4 linked regions of the Saccharomyces cerevisiae S288C genome follow. Changing the gene in region 1 together with any one later gene gives a genetic interaction. Each region holds a gene or a part of one and is shown on either strand. Other genes may lie near its edges. The genes, in order: DAD1, DUO1, TAP42 and STU1.

Region 1 (3,024 bases):
CCCTTAACACACATACATTCCTTCCCCTTGGAACATTCGTCGAGACAAGTACTTGAAAAAGAGCATCCTGAAATTGAGTCTGTCCATCCACACGTGAAAAGATCACTGTCAAGTTCCAACCAACCTTCCTTGTTGCCCGAGGTTGTATTAAATGATAACAGGCATATTATACCGGAATCTCTGTGGTACAAATATTCCGATTCTCCAAACTCGGCACCGAATGATTCGTACTTTTCGTCCTCCTCTTCTCATAACTCATGTTCGTTCGGTGAGCGTGGCAATACAAATAAATTAAAAAGACGCGATTCTGGGTCCACCATGATCAATACTGAATTGAAGAACCTAGTCATAAGGGAAGTATTTGCACCGAAATGTTTTAGAAGGAAAAGAAACTCTAATACGACTACAATGGGAAACCATAATGCGCGTTTGGGTTCCAGTCCATCTTTTTTAACACAAAAATCAAGAGCCTCGTCCCATGATGCATCGAATACGTCTATGAAGACTCTTGGTGATTCATCGTCACAAGCGAGTTTACAGATGGATGACTCGAAAGTCAATCCGAATTTGCAGGATCCTTTCTTGAAAAAATCGCTTCATGAAAAAATATCTAATGCTTTAGATGGCTCGCATTCAGTAATGGATTTGAAGCAATTCCACAAAAACGAACAAATAAAACATAAAAACTCTTTCTGCAACTCTTTATCACCCATTCTCACTGCAACCAATTCTAGAGATGATGGCGAATTTGCCACCTCCCCGAATTATATCAGCAACGCACAAGATGGTGTTTTTGATATGGATGAAGATACGGGAAACGAAACTATAAATATGGATAACCACGGCTGCCATCTTGACTCTGGTAAAAACATGATTATAAAGTCATTGGCGTATAATGTTTCAAATGACTATAGTCATCATGATATTGAATCAATTACGTTTGAGGAGACGTCCCACACCATTGTTTCAAAATTTATCTTATTGGAAGATTTGACAAGAAACATGAACAAGCCTTGTGCACTGGATCTAAAGATGGGGACAAGACAATATGGCGTAGACGCCAAAAGAGCCAAGCAACTGTCACAGCGTGCAAAGTGTTTAAAGACCACTTCTAGGCGTTTAGGCGTTAGAATCTGCGGATTAAAGGTTTGGAACAAAGATTATTATATCACAAGAGATAAATACTTTGGTAGAAGGGTTAAGGTTGGTTGGCAATTTGCTAGGGTACTTGCACGTTTTTTGTATGATGGTAAGACCATTGAAAGTTTAATCAGGCAAATTCCAAGGTTGATCAAGCAACTAGATACTTTGTATTCTGAAATTTTTAATTTGAAAGGTTACAGGCTATATGGCGCGTCTTTATTACTAATGTACGATGGAGATGCTAATAAATCAAATTCTAAAAGGAAAAAAGCTGCTAATGTTAAAGTCAACTTGATCGATTTTGCACGTTGTGTTACTAAAGAAGATGCAATGGAATGTATGGATAAATTTCGTATACCCCCAAAATCGCCAAATATAGAAGATAAAGGGTTCTTACGAGGTGTGAAGAGCTTGAGGTTTTATCTGTTATTAATCTGGAATTATCTGACTTCTGATATGCCGTTAATTTTCGATGAAGTAGAGATGAATGATATGATTAGCGAAGAAGCAGATTCGAATAGTTTCACCTCCGCCACCGGTTCGAAAATCAACTTCAACAGTAAGTGGGATTGGTTAGATGAATTTGACAAAGAAGACGAAGAAATGTATAATGATCCAAATAGTAAACTAAGACAAAAATGGAGAAAATACGAGCTTATTTTCGACGCTGAACCAAGATACAATGACGATGCTCAAGTTAGTGATTGAAAAGAAAGGATAGAACTAATGAATATTCTTTTAGCTGCGCTTATTTCAGTCCGTAAATGCATTTATCTATTCGTAACTATCATTATTTTGATTGCATAATCCAATAAATACACAAACGAGCATAGCATATATAACTATATATATGAAAAGACAAACGAATTTGTACGTGTATGAATATGACTACACGGTTATAGGCGATCACTAGAACCATTGAGCGGAAAGGGCCACCTCCGGGTAAAAGTCAAGGCCGCGAAAATAACAAAGGGAATAAACAGTCACCTTTAACAAGAGGAGGTAGTAATTAGCGTAGGAATAGGACTGATGAAGAGCTCGGACGTGTGAGGATATATGTACATATGATGGCTAGTACATCCAATGATGAAGAAAAGTTGATATCAACCACTGACAAATACTTCATCGAGCAGAGGAATATAGTATTGCAGGAGATCAATGAGACTATGAATTCAATCTTGAATGGTCTGAATGGTCTCAATATATCATTGGAGAGCTCGATAGCTGTGGGAAGAGAATTCCAGTCAGTTTCTGATTTGTGGAAAACACTTTATGATGGGTTGGAAAGTTTATCAGACGAAGCGCCCATCGACGAGCAACCTACTTTATCTCAATCGAAAACGAAGTAAAGTTGCGGTTCCCTCTGTCTCTCCTAATATTATCCTAAATTTATGTTTACAGTCGCAAATTAGATAAAGGATACGTAAGATATAAATTGTAATTTTAGCCTAATGATAAGTAAGTTGTGGACAACTTTTGCACGTTGAAAAAAGTGGAGGGCCACCGAACTCTTTTTCAAACGTTCTCCTCTTTGAACTTAGTTGTCTACCGTTTTGGATGGTAATAGCTGTTTCTTGGATAGACCTACCTTATATTTAACCTTGTTAGAATCCACCTGATAGAATGTCTTGTTCGTTTCATATATCAAGTCCTTTAGGCTCTTCTTCTTCCTTGGAGGGCTTTTCTTCATTGAAGGTGGTGGTTGTAGCCTGTCAAGCTCTTTCGAGGGACCTCCTTGGTATTGATCTTGTTCTCTTACTCCTTTTTTGGCGTCCAGATAAGCACCCCCATTGGGGCTTCCGCCACCTGTGTTCTCAGACAGATTTTTGGCACGAAGTTGTTGTTTTTCCAATTCCAAATTAAACAGTCTTCTTTCTACAA
Region 2 (3,607 bases), on another chromosome or scaffold:
AGAGCAACTAATTTACTATGTAGTTTACGAGCGTATGTTCATCTCTTCTATATATTCTCCCAGAGTATTATTGGAAATGTTGATGAATGCTAATTCAGGCTCACCTTCTCCTTGAAATGATTCGGAGATTTCTTTATTGATGAGTGTTAACAGACCCAAATCCCATTTGTTCCTTAAACTAACAAAAAATTTCATATATGTTAGTACCAAGAGTAAATCACCTTGCGTTCTTTTCTTTTGCTTGGCGGCAGAAAAACATATTAAAGCAATGCTATGAATGGAAGCCATGCGATCTTCATTAATAGTGATGTAAGGTCTTGGAGGTAGAGTTGGCATTATCGGTACACTATTAGCGGTATTCCCAGGATTCTGTTGTTCGATTAAACCGACAGTTTCGTCACGATTAGCAGCCTCAGGAGATCTAATCATCATATCTCTTAGAATGTCAAGAACAGCAATCTTTGCAGTTATATATGGACAATGTAGTAGAGTTTCAAAGATGAACGTAAAAGATGTGCTTTCGGGCATGAGATAGAGTAACCTCCTCAGAAGAGTAATTTCGGTCAACTTAGTGTCGTTATTAGATTCATTGCAAGTTTTCATCAGTAACATCTGCAAAAAGGCCGTGGTAATGTGCCCTGGAAGTTCTTGTAAGGCACACTTTATTTTCTCTGTGGAAGTCTCGGTTGTGGATACCCATAGCCAGTAGCGTACTGAACTTTCCAAAAACTTATTTTCGTATATTTCTGAAAATAAAGAAGCTGTCGTACACCGTAGATAGAGGTAAATTGCGCTTTGGATATCAATTTGCGGCAATAAGTGAGTACCATTTTTAGAATAATGTATTGCAGATAGAATCACAACTCCATATTGGTCCAGCTCTAAGTTCTTTTCGTCAGCTAGTTTCTTGATTTGATATGCGTAAGATACCTCATATACTAGTTGGTTAATTTCTTCTTTGAATTCGGGCGTGGAAGCGGCCGGGTTCATGAGAAGAGAGTTATAGATGCTTCTTGATTCTACCAGGCACTTTTCTAAAAGTTCTTTCATGTGGACATCCAATGATGTGACATACTCGTAGTATTGGTGGCATATCTGTAAAACTGAAGCATCGATTTCATTTTCATCTGTTTTTTTATGCATCAATGTTTTGAAATATATCTTGTCAATATTACCTGGATGATTTTTTAGGCAGTTGCTAATCACGAATACGCTCAGATTAGCCAGTAGTTTTTTCTGTAAGGCAGATTCATCATCATGAATTTTTTCAAGATCGTTTGTACTAATACCATCGGTCAGACTAGCAGATGGTTGAGCTGGAGAGTAATTAGTACAAAAATTGTACACTATGCGCAAAATAAAGTGTGGATCATCCATAGCCTGAACGTTGGTTGTTACATACTTAATAATTGCAGAAGTTACCATGGCTAGAAATTTAGATGGATATAAAGTGTCCACACGTTTCAACAATAAACTCATAAATTCAAAGAGAACGTAAATTTTCAAATTTGGAATGAATTCTACTGTATTTTTGGCCATATAGTGCCCAATCTCCGGAGTGATAACTGACAGCTCATCAGTAATGTTTGACGCATCATTTCTATTGGAGTCATTTAAATCTTCATTCTCTTCATCGGAGTCGCCAGTTTCAGTTAAGACTATATGGAGTGTTGACACCAATTCGCAAGCGGTCAACAAGCATTCTTTCGGATTTCCATTGATGGCTAGCTCATTGAAGCATTCCATCACACTAGAAACAAGGGGACTAAAAACTAGATGTATATTGACATTGATGTTTTTGCGTGAGAAAAACTGCAATAAACCCTTTGGCAGATCCCAGCCAATTTCCTTTAAGGTAACTGGATTATCCTTAAGTATTTTCAATAGGGCATCCAAATAACGTTCCTTTTCTTTTATAGACTTTCCAGAGTTCACCTGCTCGTTGTACATATCAATGATTGTTACAAGTGAGACAAAATCATCCTTCTCCTCTTGGAAAGCCCTGACAAGGCTTTTACAAATTGTTTCAATTGACTCACCCATACTTTCTGAGCCCTTCCTCTTGACGGTGAGTTCTTTTAGCCTTTTAGACCCAGGATAATATGTATTTTCCTTTATTCTTAGATGAGAGGTTTTTGGACCTCAGCGCAAGTTAGTTTCACAGCGAAACGAAGGAAAAAAGAATAATAATTACAAACAAACGCCAAAATCAAACGCGATAAAGAAAGATAGGCTAAGTAATCTGGACTGGTGACTCAAGTATTACTAAAGAAGATAATTTGAAACTTGAACAAGTCTTCAATATGAGTGAGCAAAGCCAATTAGATGATTCGACTATAGACAAACTGATTCCACAGATTTTCAATGAGATGAGATCTAACCTCAATAACACGACCAATAAATTTCCAAAAAGCACAGGAGGTGGAGCAAGCGATAATATTTCGGCTAACAGCAATTCTATAAGATCGTTTAATTCAATCACAACGCAATCCTTACTCAAAGAATCAGAATCGTTAGATAAAATAACAGCAATGATAAAAAATGTTACGGCCGCATTAAAAAATAACTTGCCAGTATACGTTAATCAAGTACATGAGGTATGTAAATCTACGAATTCCATTTTAGATTCATGGATCAACATTCATTCTCAAGCTGGTTATATTCATAAATTGATGAGCGATCAAACCTATTTAAAGCTAATTAATGATAGACTGCACAATGAAAATGTAAACACAAATGATGAAGATGGGAGTACTTTACACAACGTGATAGCGTTGAAAAAGAAGGAGATCTTGGATTTGAGACAAAAATTAGAAAATAGGAAGGGTGAAAAGGATGCTGCACCAGCAAAGCCACCAAATCAAGGCTTAAATCCAAGGTACGGTGTGCAATCTGGTAGAAGGCCCGTTCCTTCGGCAGGAATTTCAAATAACGGAAGAGTAAGAAAGACCCATGTTCCTGCCTCGAAAAGACCTAGTGGTATACCAAGAGTAACTAACAGGTGGACTAAGCCCACTGCTAGCAGCTCAAGGAAGATGTTTCGCTAAAAGATGCTTTCGGGAATGTATCTAGGATTTATTGTATATGGAATTTAAATCGAAATAGTAGATAAATTAATGATGAAAAAAGGACACGTTAATTGGATGCGTTAAATTATTATTTTTTTTTTTATTTAACTTTTGTTCCTAATTATGTATTAGTATTTACTGGTCGTCAAAAAATAGGAAAGGTAAATAAATAAGATTCGGGTATATTATACATTATAAATGAGAACTAACCGGTTCATGCCTTAGTTTCAACAGGAACTTGGTCTTCTAATAGAACTAATAAATCAGAAGAGTCCACATTTTCACCATCAGAGACAAACACTTCTTTAACTTGTCCATCGGATGGAGAAGATATAATCATTTCCATTTTCATGGCGCTTAATACGGCTACAGGTTGGCCCTTCTTTATTAGTGATCCTTTATGAACTTTAACTTCAACAATGACACCTGCCATTGGTGCACCAATGTGTAATGGATCATGCATGTCTGCTTTGGATTTAGTAACAGTTTCCACTTTTTGTGATCTGTCAGCAACACGAATTTTTCTCATTTCACCATTC
Region 3 (3,947 bases), on another chromosome or scaffold:
TTCATGCAAAACCGTTTCTCTACCTAATGTGATTCTGCGGTAAGCATTGCTCTTAAGCATCTGAATGAGACGAAAGGATGACTCCACACTAAATTGTACCTCTCTTCTCCAGTGACTGAATTGGAGGTTACCATTGCCAGTGACGGTAATCGTCCACATCGATGATTTCTTAGTATAACCCACACACCTCTCAGACATAGAGGCCCCAGGTGCAACGTGATAGTATAACTGCCCGGAAGTAGAAATACAACTATTCCCTTCATATTAAAAGAATAAAACTTCATTTGAACTCTTTAAAATTTAGTGGTTCATTGTGGTCCTTGTGTAAACGGAAAAAAAGGATATTACGGTAGTGGGTAGTACATAACAAGAGATGACTATCCCTGGAAGATTTATGACAATTGATAAGGGCACTTTTGGTGAATACACTGCTAGCACCCGTTGGCCCATTATCATTCAGAATGCTATAGACGATTTAAGTAAGCATCAAGAAACGGAGAAGAGTAACGGCACTAAGTTCGAACAAGGTGAAGTTATCAAAAAGGAGCTCAAGGAATTCCGTCAGGAGATAATTGATCGTGTACCTTTGAGACCCTTTACTGAAGAAGAGATCAAAATTGCCAACGTCCCGCTTTCGTTCAATGAATATCTAAAGAAACACCCTGAAGTCAATTGGGGGGCTGTAGAGTGGCTGTTCTCGGAGGTTTACTTGTATAGAAGAGTAAATGTTCTTTTCCAACGCCAATGCGAATGGGCTAAATTTGACATATTCAACAGACTTAAACAGTCAACTTTTGAGTCCTCGTTTTATGGTGTCGTGGAATTGGCGTTAAGGTATGAAAATCTGTTACCACAGCTGAGAGAAATGAAGCAAAATCCAGGAAATGAGATTGACGATATATTGAAAGTTCTTTTTAAAGAGTTTATTGAGATTTCTTTGTGGGGCAATGCCACTGATTTATCTTTATTGACCAACGCTACGTTAGAAGACATTAAATCAATCCAAGGGGCGAAAGCAAGAGCTGCATCCGAGTCCAAGATTGTTGTTAATGACACGGAGAAAGCATGGGAGGTATTAACCAAAGCCAGGGCCGATGCCAATAGCAGAGAAATTCGTGTTGATTTTGTATTAGACAATTCTGGCTTTGAATTGTATGCTGACTTGATGTTGGCAGCTTTTCTGTTACAAAGTGGTTTGGCTACCAAATGTATTTTCCACGCTAAAGACATTCCATACATGGTTAGCGATGTTATGTTAAAAGATTTTGATATATTAGTTCATGACCTGAGAGATCGTGAGTTCTTCCCAAGTGGTGAACCCTCGACAAAGGAATCCAGAGCTCTTGATTTATTTGCTGGTGAAATGGAAAAGTTCGTCTCTAGCGGTAAGATAGAATTCCGCGAAGATTCTTTCTGGACCACGGAATTAGATTATTGGAATTTGGACGCAAACGAAACCAAATACCATGGATCCATTTTGCACAAAGATTTGCAAAAATCCAATTTGGTTATTTTTAAGGGTGATCTAAACTATAGAAAATTAACTGGCGACAGAAAATGGCCCCGCACCACTAAATGGGAAACGGCTATCGGACCTCTTGCTACGAATGGTATTACATCATTGAGCTTGAGAACCTGTAAAGCCGATGTACAAGTTGCTTTACCTGAAGGTCTAGACGCGAAATTAAGTCAAGAATGGGAAAAGGAAAATCCTGGCCGTGGTTCTTGGTGGTGTTGTAGCGGTAAATGGGCAGTCATTTGTTTCTGCTCTGGTATACATAAATAAGAATATGATAAGTTCTCTATATAACTTTACTTTATGACTTTCCCTATGAAATGTTCCAAAAAAGCACATAGATTTTTAGTACGTGCCTTTTATTTTATGTACTTCTGATAAAAAAAAGAAAGCTCCTAAGGACAAATTACAATCAATGGCGAAAGAAGAGGAAGAAAGTAATAACGAGGAGAGATCATAAACATGGCGTCAGTAACAGAACAATTCAACGATATTATTAGCTTATACTCAACAAAATTGGAACACACATCTTTGAGGCAAGATTCACCAGAGTACCAGGGATTATTACTTTCCACGATCAAGAAATTATTAAACTTAAAAACAGCAATTTTTGACAGGTTGGCATTGTTCAGTACTAATGAGACCATTGATGATGTGTCTACTGCTTCCATCAAATTTCTAGCAGTTGATTACTATTTAGGATTATTGATATCAAGACGACAGTCGAATGATTCGGATGTTGCTCAAAGGCAGTCTATGAAATTGATTTACCTGAAAAAAAGCGTTGAATCTTTCATTAATTTCCTGACACTATTGCAGGATTATAAGCTTCTAGATCCTTTGGTTGGTGAAAAACTAGGTAACTTCAAGGATCGTTATAACCCTCAGCTTAGCGAATTGTACGCGCAACCAAAAAATAACAAAGATTTATCTGGAGCACAGTTGAAGAGAAAAGAAAAGATTGAGCTATTCCAGCGCAATAAAGAAATTAGCACAAAACTGCACTGCTTGGAGTTGGAATTAAAAAACAACGACGAGGACCACGACCATGATGAATTACTAAGAGAACTATATTTGATGAGGTTACATCACTTTAGTCTTGATACGATTAACAACATTGAACAGAATTTATTTGAATGTGAAATGCTCTCTAATTTCCTCAAAAATTCCGTACATGAAGTCAAATCATCAGGTACTCAGATACGAAAAGAATCGAATGATGATGATTCCACTGGTTTTACCGATAAATTAGAGAATATAAATAAGCCATTGATAGACAAAAAAGGTCAAGTCTTGAGGAACTTCACGCTTGTCGACAAAAGGCAACAACTGCAACAAAAAGTGCGAGGATATGGTCAATATGGACCAACAATGTCGGTGGAGGAATTTTTAGATAAAGAGTTTGAAGAAGGTCGCGTTCTTCAAGGTGGCGAAGAACCAGAGCAAGCACCAGATGAAGAAAACATGGACTGGCAAGATAGAGAAACCTATAAAGCTCGTGAGTGGGACGAGTTCAAGGAAAGTCATGCTAAGGGAAGCGGAAATACCATGAATAGAGGATAGAAAAAAATACCTATATACGTACACATAAGTATCTATTAGACAGATTCATATATTATTTTTTTTTCTGCCTACATCAGTTATATTTTAATCTTGTGCAAAAGGACTTCGTTATTTTTATTCACGGTGATTAACACCGGCGTAGAATCTACAATCAGATTTGAAGAAAATACCACAGGCTCTTTTCTTTCCGAGAAGTTGATGTCTGCTACGACAAATTCGTCGATGGATGGTTTTAGGTTTTCTAAATTCCTAAACTCAAAGTCTCCATTACTATATGATACGGTGATTATGCTGTCGTTCAAATCGAGTTGTATTGGTAGTGTTGACGATGGAGTCAATTGTTCCTTCAGTACAACTTTTTTCTTATCAAAAGAATAAACCAATAATCTCTCATTGCTTAGCTGAATCAGTAGCTTAGAAGTTTTTCTATCCAAAAATAAATGGTAACCTTCTTCTTCTGGCTTACCCGATAATATTGTATCAATCTTCAAATCAATTTTTTGTAGAAGCTTACCCTCGAAATCATATATGGTAAGCTGGTATGGATTTGAAGACAGTAATATTAAGGATTTTTCTGTTATACCCAATATACAATCCAGAATGTTTGTGGAATCATTACTATCATCGTCATCATTATCATGTGTTATTTCATATGTTTCTTTTATGTTAATTGGGACATCCTCAGGAGCCTCTATATTGTCCAATTCCCAGATTCTAATTTGAGATTTATTCTTACTAGCTATCAACAACCATTTATTTTTGAAGTCTATATTAATGATATCACTAGACGAAAACGGCTGTTCTGAGTCTTGTAATAGGTCCACATCTGAGATCAAAGATGCGCTAGAAATAGAGAACAATTTCAAAT
Region 4 (7,256 bases), on another chromosome or scaffold:
TGCTCTTCCGCTTCGCCCTCAGCTGCGTCCTCATTTTCGGGATTCCGTTTGTTAAGCACGTCAACAATATCACCAATGGCATTGGCCACATTGATTACGTTCCCAGCACAGGACAGGATCCTGTCAGAGCAACCGGGCACCTTTTCAGAAATACCGATCTTGACGGCGTTTGCAGCTCTTATGCGTGAGATGGTGGAGCCCTTAGTGCCAATGATCTTGGCAGCCTCTTTCAATGACAGCAAAAGCCTGTGATTGATGGTGGGTTGAGCGGTGGTGCCAACAACGGGGGCGCCGCCAGTGGCGGCGCTGCCGGCATCACTGGAGCCGCCGTTGGTATTGTTTGTGGGAATTGCAACGGGAGTAGCAGCTTCGAAGAACTGTGACATGGCTGGTATATATACTAATGCTGTCTCTAAGTTACCCGATAAGTTGATGCTTTGTTGTACAGGGGACGCGCGATAGGAGTGGGGAGCAATATGCTTTTACTTCGTATGCCAAGTAGTTATATATGCTCGGGTACTTATGCTCCAGATTATAGTCTTGTTTGTTGTTTGGCTGAGCGGCCGGACACACAGAAAAAAAACAAAAGGGCTTTCGTTAAAAGGGATAGGGTAATGTCTAGACTTAGCATAGGGCTAAAACAGAAATAGTAGGGTCTATACCGTTTTTGAAAACAAGTTGTGTAGGGTGAGACTTTTTCTTTTTCCTTTGAGTTTTTCTTTTTCTTTTTACGATTTGTCAGAAATTAGTCGGACGCTCTTGTGGGGTGAGCGCCAGCGCCGCTATAGTATATATAAAGAAGTTGCTGTGCTGGCGTGGACAATAATTGAGTCATTACAAAAAGTGGCGTACATAAAACTACAACAAACCTACAGGATGACCATAGATAACTACGACAACAGTAAACAGGATAGCAGCAAATACGAGGTTAGTGGTACGGGTGATGGCAGGAACGGCGATGGCGGCTTGCCTCTAGTACAATGTGTCGCAAGAGCTCGTATCCCAACCACACAGGGTCCGGATATCTTTTTACATCTTTACAGTAACAACAGGGACAACAAGGAACATCTAGCCATTGTGTTTGGTGAAGACATACGGTCGCGCTCGCTATTCCGTAGAAGACAGTGCGAGACGCAACAAGATAGAATGATCAGGGGCGCTTATATTGGCAAACTGTATCCCGGCAGAACTGTGGCAGACGAAGACGATAGACTCGGATTAGCTCTGGAGTTTGATGATAGTACAGGTGAGTTATTAGCTTCCAAAGCCACTACATGGGACGCCCATAACGACACGCTGGTACGGATCCATTCTGAATGTTACACCGGTGAAAACGCATGGAGCGCCCGTTGTGATTGTGGTGAACAATTCGATAGGGCCGGTAGGCTTATCGCTTGCGACCACGAACCCACAAGCAACATCAAAGGTGGAAACGGCCATGGTGTTATCGTGTATCTAAGACAAGAGGGTCGTGGCATCGGGTTAGGTGAGAAACTCAAGGCCTACAACCTGCAAGACTTAGGTGCTGACACAGTGCAGGCCAACTTAATGCTGAAACATCCCGTGGATGCTAGGGACTTCTCGCTGGGTAAGGCTATTTTGCTGGATCTTGGCATCGGTAATGTCAGGCTGCTGACAAATAACCCGGAAAAGATAAAACAGGTAGATCATGCGCCTTACCTTAAGTGCGTTGAACGAGTGCCTATGGTACCCATACACTGGACAAACTCCAGTGAAGGCATAGACTCCAAGGAGATAGAAGGTTATCTCAGGACCAAGATAGAAAGAATGGGTCATTTACTAACGGAGCCTCTGAAACTTCATACAAACCCTCAACCTACTGAGACAAGTGAAGCCCAAAACCAAAACCGTATGAACTCTGCGTTGTCATCAACATCGACGCTGGCAATATAAACACAAGTGTAGCATAATTATTAGTACATATAGTGCTTTTTTTGTAATGAAACGAAAATACCATGTTATTTTAATGCGTTACCCCGTCGGCGCGTATTGGCGCATTAACATCTTTATAGAAAATCAAATTATTTACTTATTTATTCTAAAACGCTAAACATCTATTTATTTACATTTGAGGTTGAAACTTCCCTTCATCCGATTGACAGGCATATTTAGCGGTAATTATTAGGGTTTTTGGAGAGACCTTGTATTCTTCAGAAATAATGTCGTCCTTCAACAATGAGACCAATAATAACAGCAACACTAATACACATCCAGACGATTCCTTCCCTTTGTATACCGTATTCAAGGACGAGTCTGTACCCATCGAGGAAAAAATGGCACTGCTTACACGGTTCAAAGGACATGTAAAAAAGGAACTAGTTAACGAATCGTCGATCCAAGCTTATTTCGCTGCGTTACTGTTCATCTCCGGCCATTACGCTTACCGTTCGTACCCGCGGTTAATCTTCCTATCACATTCCTCGCTTTGTTACCTTATCAAACGTGTGGCCATGCAGTCTCCAGTACAATTCAATGACACTCTAGTTGAGCAATTACTAAACCACTTAATTTTCGAGTTGCCTAATGAGAAGAAATTTTGGCTGGCTTCCATTAAAGCCATTGAAGCCATTTATTTGGTTAATCCATCGAAGATCCAAGCTATTCTAGCAAATTTCTTGCGAAGACCAAGTGAAAACCAAAACGGAGATTACCTGAATAGGATAAAATCTACATTATTGACCATCGATGAGTTGATCCAGATCAACGAGAAAAATAATTCAAATCATTTGCAACTACTGAGGTTTTTCATGCTGTCTTTCACCAACCTTTTAAATAACAACCTAAATGAACACGCAAACGATGATAACAATAATGTAATAATAGAGCTTATTTTCGATATAATGTACAAGTATTTGAAAATGGATGACGAAAATTCACAGGATCTGATAGATGGATTTATTAACGATTTAGAAGTTGAGAAATTCAAGCAAAAATTCATAAGTTTAGCAAAGTCACAGGACCAGCATGGTTCACAAGAAGATAAATCGACCTTGTTTGACGAAGAGTACGAGTTTCAATTACTATTAGCCGAAGCGAAATTGCCGCAGTTATCAAACAACTTGAGCAGTAAAGACCCAGCGATGAAAAAAAACTATGAGTCTTTGAACCAATTACAACAAGACTTGGAGAATTTGTTGGCACCGTTCCAAAGTGTAAAGGAAACAGAACAAAATTGGAAGCTAAGGCAATCAAATATAATTGAATTAGACAACATTATATCCGGCAACATTCCCAAAGATAATCCAGAGGAATTTGTCACTGTAATAAAGGAGGTGCAGTTGATTGAGTTGATTTCAAGAGCTACCTCGTCGTTGAGGACAACGTTATCATTAACTGCATTACTTTTCCTCAAGAGGCTAATCCATATCCTAAACGATCAGTTGCCCCTATCAATATTGGACCAAATATTTGTCATTTTCAAGAACTTGTTATCATCTACCAAGAAAATCTCTTCACAAACTGCATTTCATTGTTTAATTACTTTGATCATTGATATAAATCATTTCCATAATAAACTATTCCAATTATCTTTTTTATTAATAAATGAGAAAACCGTAACACCGAGATTTTGCTCTGCAATACTGCTGCGTAGCTTCCTGATTAAGTTCAACGACTCCAATCTTTCGCTCAACAATTCAAATACAACTTCGCCAACCTCAAAGTTGGAGAATAACATCATATACATCGAAGAATGGCTAAAAAAGGGCATTTCAGATTCACAGACAACCGTTAGAGAGGCAATGAGGTTAACTTTTTGGTATTTCTACAAATGTTATCCTACAAATGCCAAAAGATTATTGAGTTCTTCCTTTTCTCCACAGTTGAAAAAAGCAACAGAATTGGCAATCCCTGCTCATTTGAATATAAACTATCAAGTTTCCAGGGTGTCCTCTACTGCCTCCGCCTCCTCTGCAACGTCTCGATTGTACTCTCACTCTTCGAATAATTCTTCAAGAAAAACCAGTTTACTGGAGCAGAAAAGGAACTATCCAAGTTATGCCCAACCGACTCAATCTTCCTCCACCTCCCTACTCAACGCTCCTGCAGTCACAGCTGGTGGAAGTGTCATAGCCAGTAAACTATCAAATAAGCTGAAAACAAACTTAAGGTCTACTAGTGAATATTCAAGTAAAGAAAATGAAAAAAGGGCAAGGCATCATGACAGTATGAACTCTGTTTCAAACAGCAACACCAAAGATAATAATAATGTTACTAAAAGAAAAGTTAGTGCCCCTCCTTCTTCTACTGCCGCCACAAAAGTATCTGAAAATTACACAAATTTTGATGACTTTCCGTCAAACCAAATCGACTTGACTGATGAGTTATCAAATAGTTACTCTAACCCGTTGATAAAGAAATATATGGATAAAAATGATGTTTCGATGTCATCTTCTCCAATCTCATTAAAAGGCAGTAATAAACTTGGTGAATATGAAACCCTTTACAAAAAATTCAATGATGCTTCGTTTCCAGCTCAGATCAAAGATGCTTTACAGTATTTACAAAAGGAGTTACTGTTGACATCGCAACAGTCATCATCAGCCCCAAAATTTGAATTTCCCATGATTATGAAAAAGCTACGCCAAATTATGATAAAGTCACCAAATGATTTCAAGCCATTTTTGAGTATAGAGAAGTTTACAAATGGAGTTCCCTTAAATTACCTCATTGAGCTATATTCTATTAATAGTTTTGATTACGCGGAAATCTTAAAGAATAGAATGAATCCTGAAAAGCCCTACGAGCTTACTAACTTGATTATAACTATCGCGGATTTATTCAATTTCTTGAATGCCAATAATTGTCCGAATGATTTCAAACTATACTATATGAAATACAAAACCACTTTTTTCAATTATAATTTCAAGTTACTTTTAGAGATTTTCCGTAACTTGAACATAAAACATGATAACACTCTGAGGTCAGGAACGAACGATCTCATGCCTAAAATATCAATGATACTCTTTCAAATCTACGGTAAAGAGTTTGACTACACATGTTATTTCAATCTAATTTTTGAAATTTATAAATTCGATAATAATCGTTTTAATAAATTGCTAGCTGATTTTGACATTGTATCTACCAAGATGAAAATCTGTCATGAACTTGAAAAGAAGGATGCCAACTTTAAGGTAGAAGACATCATTTCTAGAGAAAGTTCTGTAAGCTTCACTCCCATCGACAATAAAAAATCTGAAGGGGATGAGGAATCCGACGATGCTGTAGACGAAAATGATGTTAAGAAATGCATGGAAATGACAATGATTAATCCCTTCAAAAACTTGGAAACTGATAAAACACTAGAGTTGAAGAATAACGTTGGAAAAAGAACATCAAGCACAGACAGCGTAGTTATTCATGATGATAATGACAAAGATAAAAAGCTTTCAGAAATGACGAAAATAGTAAGTGTTTATCAACTGGACCAGCCAAACCCAGCAAAGGAGGAAGATGATATAGATATGGAAAATTCTCAAAAATCTGATTTGAATTTAAGTGAAATTTTTCAAAACAGTGGTGAAAATACCGAAAGGAAATTGAAGGACGATAATGAACCAACAGTAAAATTCAGTACAGATCCTCCAAAGATAATAAATGAGCCAGAAAAACTTATTGGAAATGGGAATGAGAATGAAAAGCCTGATTTGGAAACAATGTCACCAATCAAAATAAACGGGGACGAGAATATGGGTCAAAAGCAAAGGATCACAGTAAAGAGAGAAAGAGACGTAGCACTAACTGAACAAGACATAAACTCCAAAAAGATGAAACTAGTTAATAACAAAAAATCAGAGAAGATGCATTTGCTTATCATGGATAATTTCCCAAGGGATTCCTTGACTGTATATGAAATTAGTCATCTTTTAATGGTTGATTCTAATGGCAACACTTTGATGGATTTTGATGTCTATTTCAATCACATGTCAAAGGCAATAAACAGGATAAAAAGTGGATCGTTCACTATGAAACATATAAATTACCTGATCGAACCCTTGATTACTTGTTTTCAAAATCAAAAAATGACCGATTGGTTGACGAATGAAAATGGTTTTGATGAACTACTGGATGTTGCTATTATGCTTTTGAAATCTACTGATGACACGCCTTCAATTCCATCAAAAATATCCAGTAAGTCCATAATTCTCGTTCATTGTCTTTTGGTTTGGAAAAAGTTTCTAAATACACTAAGCGAGAATGCCGACGATGATGGCGTTTCGGTGAGAATGTGTTTCGAAGAAGTATGGGAACAGATCCTTTTAATGCTTAATAAATTTTCTGATTATGGAAACGAAATCTATAAATTAGCGCAAGAGTTCAGGGACAGTCTAATGTTATCGCACTTTTTCAAAAAACATTCGGCAACAAGAATTCTAAGCATGTTGGTTACTGAAATTCAGCCTGACACCGCTGGTGTGAAAGAAACATTTTTAATTGAGACCTTATGGAAGATGCTGCAATCTCCTACCATTTGCCAACAATTCAAGAAATCTAATATATCAGAGATTATCCAAACAATGAGCTATTTCATTATGGGGACTGATAATACTTCGTGGAACTTCACCAGTGCCGTGGTATTAGCTCGTTGTTTGAGAGTCCTCCAAACTACTCCAGATTATACTGAGCAAGAAACCGAACGATTATTCGATTGTTTGCCTAAGAATGTCTTTAAAATGATCATGTTCATCGCCTCAAACGAATAGAGAATAGCGTGGTAGACGCGTAATTTTTTTTTACCGTGACGCGTCTCACCAGAGTTTCTTAGTTCTTTCTCTTTTCTAAAACTGTAATAATATGAGCTCTTTGTAGACACATATAACATTTTGTTTCATATACATAATATATTTGCATATAAAAATATCAAGATAATTGATTGTCAATTGGTTCAACAAAGCTTGAAGGTAAATTTAGGCAGGAGCAAGTGACTGAAAAAAAAAAAAATGAGCGGATCTATCGATGTCATCACTCATTTTGGGCCTGATGCAGACAAGCCGGAAATCATCACTGCATTAGAGAATTTAACTAAACTGCATGCATTGTCCGTCGAGGATCTATACATTAAATGGGAGCAGTTCTCCAATCAAAGGCGTCAAACTCACACAGATCTGACTTCCAAGAACATAGATGAGTTTAAACAATTTTTACAATTACAAATGGAAAAGCGTGCTAACCAAATTTCATCGTCCTCTAAGGTAAACACATCCACAAAAAAACCAGTGATTAAAAAAAGTTTGAAT

What was found.
Region 2: mutations in DAD1 (region 1) and DUO1 are lethal when combined (synthetic lethality), as found in Saccharomyces cerevisiae (3 studies listed by BioGRID, with this or other methods).
Region 3: mutations in DAD1 (region 1) and TAP42 together harm fitness more than expected from each alone (negative genetic interaction), as found in Saccharomyces cerevisiae (2 studies listed by BioGRID).
Region 4: mutations in DAD1 (region 1) and STU1 together harm fitness more than expected from each alone (negative genetic interaction), as found in Saccharomyces cerevisiae (3 studies listed by BioGRID, with this or other methods).

Annotation. Positions count from the first base shown.
Region 1 is NC_001136.10:477,942-480,965, reverse strand, and holds DAD1 (Dad1p), read left to right. Parts: upstream 1-2,207; coding exon 2,208-2,492; downstream 2,493-3,024. Other genes in the region: inositol polyphosphate kinase KCS1, read left to right, coding at 1-1,851; HED1 (Hed1p), read right to left, coding at 2,681-3,024. UniProt on the Saccharomyces cerevisiae protein: Component of the DASH complex that connects microtubules with kinetochores and couples microtubule depolymerisation to chromosome movement; it is involved in retrieving kinetochores to the spindle poles before their re-orientation on the spindle in early mitosis and allows microtubule depolymerization to pull chromosomes apart and resist detachment during anaphase.
Region 2 is NC_001139.9:388,408-392,014, reverse strand, and holds DUO1 (Duo1p), read left to right. Parts: upstream 1-2,303; coding exon 2,304-3,047; downstream 3,048-3,607. Other genes in the region: YBP2 (Ybp2p), read right to left, coding at 25-1,950; PYC1 (pyruvate carboxylase 1), read right to left, coding at 3,283-3,607. UniProt on the Saccharomyces cerevisiae protein: Component of the DASH complex that connects microtubules with kinetochores and couples microtubule depolymerisation to chromosome movement; it is involved in retrieving kinetochores to the spindle poles before their re-orientation on the spindle in early mitosis and allows microtubule depolymerization to pull chromosomes apart and resist detachment during anaphase.
Region 3 is NC_001145.3:325,504-329,450, forward strand, and holds TAP42 (Tap42p), read left to right. Parts: upstream 1-1,978; coding exon 1,979-3,079; downstream 3,080-3,947. Other genes in the region: YMR027W (putative methyltransferase), read left to right, coding at 374-1,786; FAR8 (Far8p), read right to left, coding at 3,157-3,947. UniProt on the Saccharomyces cerevisiae protein: Involved in negative regulation of the TOR signaling pathway in response to type of available nitrogen source. Inhibitor of PP2A phosphatase SIT4, which results in inhibition of nuclear export of MSN2, due to lack of dephosphorylation by SIT4.
Region 4 is NC_001134.8:153,314-160,569, reverse strand, and holds STU1 (Stu1p), read left to right. Parts: upstream 1-2,180; coding exon 2,181-6,722; downstream 6,723-7,256. Other genes in the region: HEK2 (Hek2p), read right to left, coding at 1-386; RIB1 (GTP cyclohydrolase II), read left to right, coding at 877-1,914; DNA-directed DNA polymerase alpha subunit POL12, read left to right, coding at 6,960-7,256.